2 linked regions of the Drosophila melanogaster genome follow. The protein of the gene in region 2 interacts with the protein of the main gene of each other region in a pairwise test. Each region holds a gene or a part of one and is shown on either strand. Other genes may lie near its edges.

What was found. Proteins that work in one complex are often made in the same cells at the same time.
Region 1: the proteins of CG3726 (region 2) and RpS15Aa interact in a two-hybrid assay, tested with the Drosophila melanogaster proteins (one large-scale study listed by BioGRID).

Annotation. Positions count from the first base shown.
Region 1 is NC_004354.4:13,335,078-13,339,572, forward strand, and holds RpS15Aa (ribosomal protein S15Aa), read right to left. Parts: upstream 2,562-4,495; 5' UTR 2,428-2,561; intron 1,303-2,427; 5' UTR 1,301-1,302; coding exon 908-1,300; 3' UTR 560-907; downstream 1-559. Other genes in the region: CG15747 (uncharacterized protein), read left to right, coding at 3,298-3,308, 3,375-4,495.
Region 2 is NC_004354.4:5,915,155-5,920,097, reverse strand, and holds the start of CG3726 (uncharacterized protein), read right to left. Parts: upstream 3,002-4,943; 5' UTR 2,471-3,001; intron 1-2,470. Other genes in the region: Shmt (serine hydroxymethyl transferase), read left to right, coding at 3,629-3,835.

The DNA.
Region 1 (4,495 bases), 7.4 Mb from region 2:
ACTTTAAGTGTTGATAACAAGTAATGCCTAAAAACGAATATCACAAACCCAACACCCGTTCATAAAAAACCTAGTACTCCCTAGGGATAACTTGAGATAACATCAAATTTGACTCATCGAGTGAATACACTTTATCATAATTAAAACAAATTTTTACTCAAAAATTGCAGCAGTTATCTACAGCATAAATTCGGAACTTGTGCTGGAAAACAGTTGAAAACCTGAAGAAGCATGTAAATGTACGTTTTACATGTACATTTTGTTCTATAGAAACTACAACAAATTCTAACAAGCATTATTTGCTTCATAAACAATTTTTGACAGTAATTGAGGTTTTCTTGGTGAAGAAGTTCTAACAAATAATAAGAAACCTAGGTGGGAATACCAAAACTATGATGGTCTAATCATTTTTGGCTTTAAGGTGTCAAGAGTGGGAACAATTGGCCCTTACTTTCATTATGGAAAGCACGTAACCGTGTTTTAAGCACCTCAAAAGAAACCGCATGGCGCGTTCTTAACATCCTAATTGTCTTGATTTCAGCCATAAAATTGACAATATCCAGCTATAAGTAACTCCGGTCGAGGTTATATTATACACAAATTGGGTTTTATGTTAACAGATCGTTTTACTGTCGCTATTGATTTATCACTGTACCGCTTAACATAGTATATGGATCGTAGACAAAATCGTTATTAAAATTATTATGTATCAATCATTTTATTTCGCGTAACTTTGTGAACATTCATCGTCGTTTGTTTTCTGAATGAACGTAGCAGCGTTTTCGCCCCTTGTTTCCTGTGCACAAAGTACATAGTTGGTTGCATGGTCGGTGAAATAAAACGTCAATCTACATATCAAACTCCTTAGCAGCACATACAGACTCTCTACGATGCGAACTTGGTTTCTCTAGAAGAAGAAGCCGAGAATTTTGCCTCCCAAATGTTTTCTCCTAGCCTCCTCGTGGTCCATGATGCCGCCAGAGGTGGTGAGCACAACGTAACCAAACTGACGCGAGGGCAACAGATTGTTGGTCCATTTCTCGATGTCGTTGATGGGCACATCGAAGCGGGGCGAGATGACGCCGCACTTGTTTAGCCTACCGGTCAGGTTGACAACGATCTTGCCGGAACGATGATCGTCGACGATCTCGAATTCGCCGATATAGCCATGCTTCATCATCACGGTCAGGAACTTGATGATCACCTTGGAGCAGGGACGCAGCAGCACCTGCCGCTTGCCACGCTTCTCGGCGTTGTTTATGCACTTCAAGGCATCGGCCAATACGTTCATACGCACCATGGCTGCAAAATGTTCGGGAACACAATTAGTCAAGAGGCAATAATCACAGAAAAAAAAAGATGATGTCTTGGGCTTTAATCGAAAGTGCAGACTTTGCCACCCCCATTGCTCTATAAAATCAGTCTACAAAACCAAGCAAAACGTGCTCAGAGCCTACTAAAAAAAAGTATCTCACTAAATTGCATATAACTACTATATAAGTAGTACTATGAGGTTGGCTAACAAAGCTTAAGCCCTATTAAATGAAAAACTAACTTGAAAAGTACGTAAAACTATGTGTACTACAAGAACAGATCAATTGACCACCTAAACAAAACATATCAACTTATGGAGCCTATACAAGTGTGGCATATGACTTATTGGAAAAAGGTTTCCCTAACACATATGAACCATTATGAGCATAATAAAGTATTCAATAAAAGTGGCTACTATTATAATACTCTAGATTTCTGGAGGGCAGGAGGCGTGGCGCCTTTTCGGAAATTCACGCGGACAGACGACGAATCGTTTTTTAATATTGATTATGATTTTTAACAGTTTTTTACTTCACTTTTTAAATCAGCGAGGAACGGAACATTGAATAAAAAAAGAAGCAGAAACAGCAAGTAAAACACGTGCAAAATAGCAAAGAAAAAAAAATGATACTGTCTGTGTTTCTGCGGCTGTGTGTGTGTGCGTACAAGTGGCTGTAAACAACAACTATTTCGGGTAAGTTTACCAACTAAACTGCGTAAAAATTTGTTTAATTTAGCCGGTTTTCGGTCGTGCATTCGATTCAACTGAATGCCCAACTTTTTGCCACAATTTAAAGCCGCTCACACCCACCCACACATGCACAACAACACTGTGCCACACACTTTGGCCAATTTTTCACTTCATATTCGTTTGCACATTAAAAAAATTATAACCAAAAAAATACATATATATAGCGCATGTAGCGAGGCATTTCATGCATTGTTTACACGGTAAACTGATCAGTTTTGGCACATTGGCCCACAGTAAAAAAAAATGGGTAATAAAAAAAACGGAGTTGGGTGGATTTGCACATGTTTCGGCCGGCGATCGCCGCCAATCTAATCTGGCTGAATTTTCGCGCTTAAAACGGGTCCAATGGAAGCGGCATTTACCTGGATTTGTTTGCAAAAACTGTTTTACACGACCGCTGCAAATAGAGGAAATAAAAGAGAGTTAAATACAATTTTGTTGAACAAAACTCGGAGTACACGTACTCACGCAAACGTGAAAAAGGGAAAAGAAAGGGAAACGGAAGGAAAAAGACGCAGAACAGTGTGGCCGCGTTTGTCGAATGTGTCTACGCTCAACGTGCCTATCGATAGTTAGCCGGACGCAGGCCGCGGTTGCTGGCTTGACTAAAATCGCTTCCAATTATTTGGAGCCCAACTGCCACTATGCATGTGAATAGACTTGAACGGCTTCAGAAGTAATCTTTGATATTTCTCTGATCCCCCCGAGCATCATGATCCCGTCTATATTTTTCTGCGTAGCCAGACTAAGGACCGATGTTTCCATTGGCGTAAAAAAATAAATAAAAAAAAAACAGCAGGCCTTAAGTGATAATTAAACGCTTTATTAACATAACAATTTATTTATATTTAAATTTATTTTAATTTGTTTCAATATTTCGCCATATTTGTATGTGTATTTTACGTCTCTAGAGTTGCACTAACATGATTTCAAGGGGTAAGAGCCTTGGTTTGGCAATAAAACAGAAAATAAAGTAATGATTGGTCCATTGAAACACAATTAAATACAAGTTGATTAAAGCACAAGTTTTAAAGTAGTTTCACATTGAAATAACGAATTTTGTGATACTATCCGTGTTTCAAACTATTATCTTAATACTATCGAATGGTCCTCCTATCGATATACAACGGTTCTTTTAGCCGGTAAAGCGTTGCTGTCAGCAGTTTTGCACCATTGAGGGATTTTTGTGGTCGCTTCAGACGGTCATACTAATTATTCATAAATAAACAAGAATGGCAAAACAGTAAGTAATTTGTTAAAAATAAACAATTTGAGCAGTTTTTTAAGGACCCGTTTCAACACCGTGCAGATATGGCCTTATTTTACCCGGCCAACAGAAGAAAGTACCTCTAAAACGAGTCGAAAGGCCCTCCATCTTCGACGAGAACAGCGACTCCGAGACCGATGATGACCCAGCTGCTCCTCAATTTCAGCCAAGAACCGGCGGCGTATCCATGGGTCCTAGTCTAATGGAACGCCGCGTGGCCCGCCGGCAGCAGGAGAAGGCCCTGGCCGAGGATCCAACCATATTCCAGTACGACGAGCTGTACGATGACATGGACAGCAAACGCGAGGAGGCCAAGCAGACGAAGAGCCAGGAGCCGCGGAAACCAAAGTACATTGGCCGGCTGATGGAGCATGCCGAGCGCAGAAAGCTGGAGAAGGAGCTGCGCATCGAACGGCAGGTGCAGAAGGATCGCGAAGCCGAGGGCGAGATGTATAAGGACAAGGACACCTACGTGACTGCCGCCTACCGCAAGAAGCTCGAGTCCATACGCCAGATGCAGGAGCAGGAGCAGCGTGATGAGTACCTCGAGGCCATTGGCGATGTGACCAAGCAAAAGGATCTGGACGGCTTCTATCGCCATCTATACGAACAAAAGTTGGGCGGTCCCGCCCAGCAGGATGTCGTCAAGCCAAAGACGGCGCCCACCACCGACGAGGTGGCATACAAACCCATTAAGGCAGAGGCTGTCAAGCATCGAAGCTATCGGCGACGTCGCCCCTCCGAGGATGAAGAGGAGCAGACTAAGAGCAAATCAGACGCAGCCTCGGACGCCACGAAGTCAACGGATCAAACGGAAAGCATACCAGCGCAGGCACATTTGACCAACAACATAGATGCCGATTCTGATTTTAGCATAGACGACTCCAGCGATGAAGAAGACGAGAAGGAGAATGAGAAGGAAAAGAATAAGCTGTCCCAGATCAAAAAGGAGGATAAGGACAAGGCTCCGGAAAGTTCAGAGCCCGTTAAACCCAAAGAACCCGAGGCCTCGCAACAATCCCCCACCAAAAAGGATGATTCCAATGCCGAAGTGAACGAAAAGGATCTACCCGTGCCGAGAGTCACCAAACCGCCTGTGGATCGCACACTCTTCTGGCGCAAGAGGACCGTGGGCGAGGTCCTAGCGGCAGCCTTGGCTCGCT
Region 2 (4,943 bases):
ATTTTTTGTTATATTTTTCCGATTTGCCGTCTGCAGTGCAGTTTTTTATTGTTTGTTTTTAATTATAAATATGAGCTGATATCAGAGAATGAGGGAAAAAAAAAGTGGGGAGCTCAATGAAAAAGAAATGGTTGCAAAATCAAACCCTTTTTCGGCGAAATTGAAATTGAAAACGCTGTGAATAGATTTAAGGAACTTTGTCGGCATTTGACAAACATTATTTACGCATTGCAAATTATAGTTATCATTTTTCATATATAGTGCGCAAAACATAAACAACCCCAAAATTTACGTAAGCGAATTTTATTTGCCAACTACCAAAATGAAAATAAATAAACACATAGAGTAAACTAAACTTAAAGCTGGTATGACAAAAAATGACAACAACAAAATAATCACACACGAAAAACAATATTTCGTGTCAAAATTTGTGTCGTTTTTTGCTTTATTTCCTACTGCCGCATTGTTTTTCTAAAGAATTTTTATTTGGTTGCGGAATAACACGAAAATAAGTGTGATTTTGTTATAAATACTTCACGGCTTTATTTCGACTCGACTGTGGGAATACCCAAAAGTTTTTTACATGATATATCATATATTACGAATAATTTATGATAATGAAATCTAGATGCAAAGCTTTCAAATCTCGAAGCCCAGGTAAATATGCATTTATTCGAAATCGATTTGAAAATGTTTTATATTTCGAATTTGGTTTTGTTGGAATATCAATCGTTGTAGTTTTAGACTAATTTTAGGCTTTATTTAAGCGTTTCTCCCACATTTATAAATTAATTAATTATGTCCATAGGTATGTATATGAACATATATGCATATATGTATGTATATATTCCAAATTTGGGGGCGTGGCACGTCGGATGCTGACCTGCCCTTGTTTTTTTGCCTTTGGCTTGCTTGTTTGTTATCGCTTTTGTTCTGATTTGTTTTTGGACAATGAACTTGAAATTTGGAGCACGCGTTTCACATGTAATTGAAATGTGTGTGAGTGGGGCGAAGGCGGGTGGTGGGGGGTCGATGAAGATGGGGAGCAGAGAGCAGCGAACGAGAGAGAGAGCACTCACGCACACCAACACTAGCGCACAGAAGCCAGGGCCGGATCAGGGGGTAAATATTCGAGTTAAGTGCCATTAAATATCTTAAATGTTTTACGTAATTTTGTTGCTCAATAACCTATATATTTTGTTAACTTCATGTTCTTCTTGCAAATCGGTAGCTTGGTTCAAAAATTTCCAGATTCGCTCCTGATACGCTCTCTTCCTCTCTCTCTCTCTCGCTCTCTGCCCCCCCTCCACACAATCTTCCACACACTGATTCGCTGTTTTATTTTTTTTTGCGCAGGCGAATGCCGCTGTGAAAACAAAAAACCGAATAAAACAGCCGACAAAAACAAAAGGAAGGAGAAACGTTGACGGCGACGTCACTCAAATGCGATTTGCAATTTTAATTTTTGCCGTTCATGTTTTGCAGTTTTTGTTCATATAATTAAAGTTGTAAAAATGAATTGCCATACAGCAAAAAAACGAGAGAAAAGTAAATTGCAAATTGTAAATTGCTTTTGCCATAAAGGCGGAAATGCCTCTCTCAACAACAAAAAAACTCGCATTCAAATAGTGCAACAAAAAACTAAAAACAAATAAGCCGAAATCGACAACAAAAAATAAGGCTAAACAGGTGAAGAAGAAAACTAAAAGCCACAGAAATAACAAAAACCGATAAACCAAAATTTAAAACCAGCACAAAAAATAGCCCCAAAACTTAAGATATACAATTGTGTTCGAAATCGTAGTAAAGCTATTTGAAGCGCCACAAAAATTTACATTTTTTGTAAACATTTTTAAGCATCGACTATTATTTTGGGTACAACTGTAGCAGATAAACAACAGCCCGCAAAAAACCCTAATTATCAAGCTTAGACAAAAACTACAAAAAAAGCGAAAAAATCACACAAAAAATGTAAATTACTGGCCTATGAATTTAATTAATTTTTTGCAACTCTGTAGGTTTTTTCCCCTCTTTTTTCATTTTTATCTTGGCGATTAGTTGGCAGCAACAATTACAATAAGCGAAGAAAAAGCGCCAATCGTTTCCTGAGCGAAAAACAATTGTTTACAATAATTGCATGCGATTATTATTTATGTCAATTTCGAATATTCAGCTGGCAAAGTCAACAAACCCGGAAACCTTCGGCGAGAACAACGGAATTTTTATCGTAATATTTTGTTCGCCTTTTTGCATTCAACAAAAAAGAGCACGCACAAAACAAAACATGCAAAAAAAAAAAGAAGCACAAAATATATGATTGAAAAACAAAAACGATAAAAAACAAGGGGAGAGCGGCGAACAAAAACAGAAAATCGCACAAATAACACACAACTTTTGTTTGGCTAAAAATAAAACGACGTTCGTTTTGCGTGTCTTTTTAGCACATGAAATAAATAATTTGTTTTCTCACCTTTTCTTTATGACTTTTCGCGCTATCTTTTCTTTTGGCGTTTTTTTCCCCCCTCGAATTTCTTTTACTTTTCCTTTATGCTTTTTGTTTTGTTATTCGAATCGAATTGCACACGCAGCAGAATTGTGTCGAAAAAAATTCATTCATTCATTTAATTTCTGGCTTGCCATTTTTGTTTCATTTCTATATTTTGTTTTTTAACATAAAAAAAAATAATGCGAAACAGCGAATTCAAAACGCGCGCTTTTTCTTTTGCCTTGCGAGCGGATAACGGTAAATGCGCACAGCAATGTTTTAACATTAAACACTAACCACTAAATTGTCAGGAAATTCACCAAAAATAAATGTTCTGTTTTGGAATTGTTAAGAATGTTAGGCTCATGTGTTTGTTAATATTTTCCAGGAATTTTCTTTTAGCGGCGCAGCGAAGTGAAACGTACCGCGGAGGAGACGGATTTTTGAGTGAAAAGAATTGAACTTTCGTTGTTGCTTATATAGACTTTGGCTGGCAGCAATGTTGCTGGAGAGAGATGTTGCACTCTCCCAATCGGTTGGCAACTTAAACCGGTTCGCAGTACCAGCAATTTGGCGGGTACTTTAAATGCCTTAACGTTATCGCGCGTTTGATAACTACGTACATTTTAAGGGATTGAGAGAAACGCATATTATGATATAAAATAAAGTGTTAATATTAATTGAAGAGGCACACACGCTTAACATTTCCACAAATTGTAAATATTTATACAAGAATTGGTAGCTATCGCTAGCGTTGCCAGACGGCGCCAAAAGCTTCTAAATCCAGCGATCCAACTACCCAAACAGCTGATATCTGTTAGCCTGGTAAATGTTGTTTACCAACGTAACGCGTGTTTTCGCTTCGTTGTATTTTCGGTGTCGAATATTTTGGATGCTGGCCAAGAGATAGCGCAGCGATCGGGTCGGAACTCTTGGGCGGACTTATCACTGGGTCGGTCAGGGGTCACGGGTTATCGTTATCGCTTATCAGCCAGCGGCGGCGTCATCTCAGCGCCGGCGACTCTTCTCACTTTGCGGCAGTTCCGATTCGAACGCAGCCGTGTGAGTACTAATAATTACCAAGGATTGTTGAAAAACATCCACTAAAATCTATAAAATTCTGCTTATTACAGTTACAAAGACATGCAGCGGGCGCGCTCTACACTGACACAAAAGCTTCGGTTTTGCCTTAGTCGGGACCTGAACACCAAAGTTGGCAACCCGGTTAACTTCGAGACTGGAAAGCTTAGCGGAGCTTTAACTCGCATCGCCGCCAAAAAACAACCATCACCAACGCCATTCTTACCGGCGATCAGACGATATTCGGACTCCAAGCAGAGCACTTTGAAGGTGAGTTCGCCGGGAAAGTCCCAGGCAAAGTGAAGGGGAGGGTGGAAAAAGTGTGGCTAATTGAACCATTTGGGGGACTCGCATTTCGATTGCCTTTAATTCTTGCAGTGATCGCGGTGCTCAGAAAGTTTGTGTTTCGCTTCCATTTGCGGCTCCTGGCATGCCCGGCTAATCGCCATGTGCTTCATGCGTTTCATTCAGCCATGTGTTCCCACACTGCACTATCCCTACGTGGATGGCATGCCATCGATCCGCTGAAAGTGTTGTTTATAGTAGTATCATTGTTAAGTACCTATGTACATGTGTAGTTTAATTGAGATCTTATAGCATATGTACATATATGTACCGTATTTGTATCAGTGTACTGTTAGTGTATTCAAAACGTCGCCATGCGCCAAGTTTGAATCTTTTTGATTCACATTCGCTACCTCGGCCTGAAACTCGTTTTTGGGCCTACTCGAATTTCTCGGCTGTTTGCGCCCTATCGAGCATTGTTGTTGTCATTCTCGTTTGCACTTGTCTAAATATTTAAACTGATAACGCAAAAAAAAAAAAGAATCTGGCATTGGCCATTAAATCGAATTTCCCATTCGTGTGGGCAGATTTGTATATAAATATACATACATACATATGTATATGCATTTTGCACTCAACTTGTGGCCAGAAATTAGCATTCAATTTAGTGGGAATCACCAGTTTCCAGTTTTTGCAGCTAAAATTTTGCGTGTCCAATTCATTTCTGCGTTGAAAATAGAAGAATCTTCCAGGGATTATTAGTTAGCAGCTGGAAACGTTGAACAACAAAATGGTACTAGAGATACGTAATTTGCTGGAGGAAGCTACATACATATAAACTTGTCCATTTTCTGCCAATATTCTCCATTTCGACTATATACGTACGTTTCCCGATCTTTCCGAAGTGCGTCAGCTGCAAAGGGGGGGCAGTGTCCTTATCGTCGTCCGGCGACTTGAACTGGTGACCCAGACGGATGATAATCACTTGACGATAAGCGGATCGCAAATAGACGCGCTCTCCCATCCATGGGGGGTCGCATTTTCGATCATGGGCGTGTTATTGCACCCAAGTCACTTGGTTTCCCTGGTATTT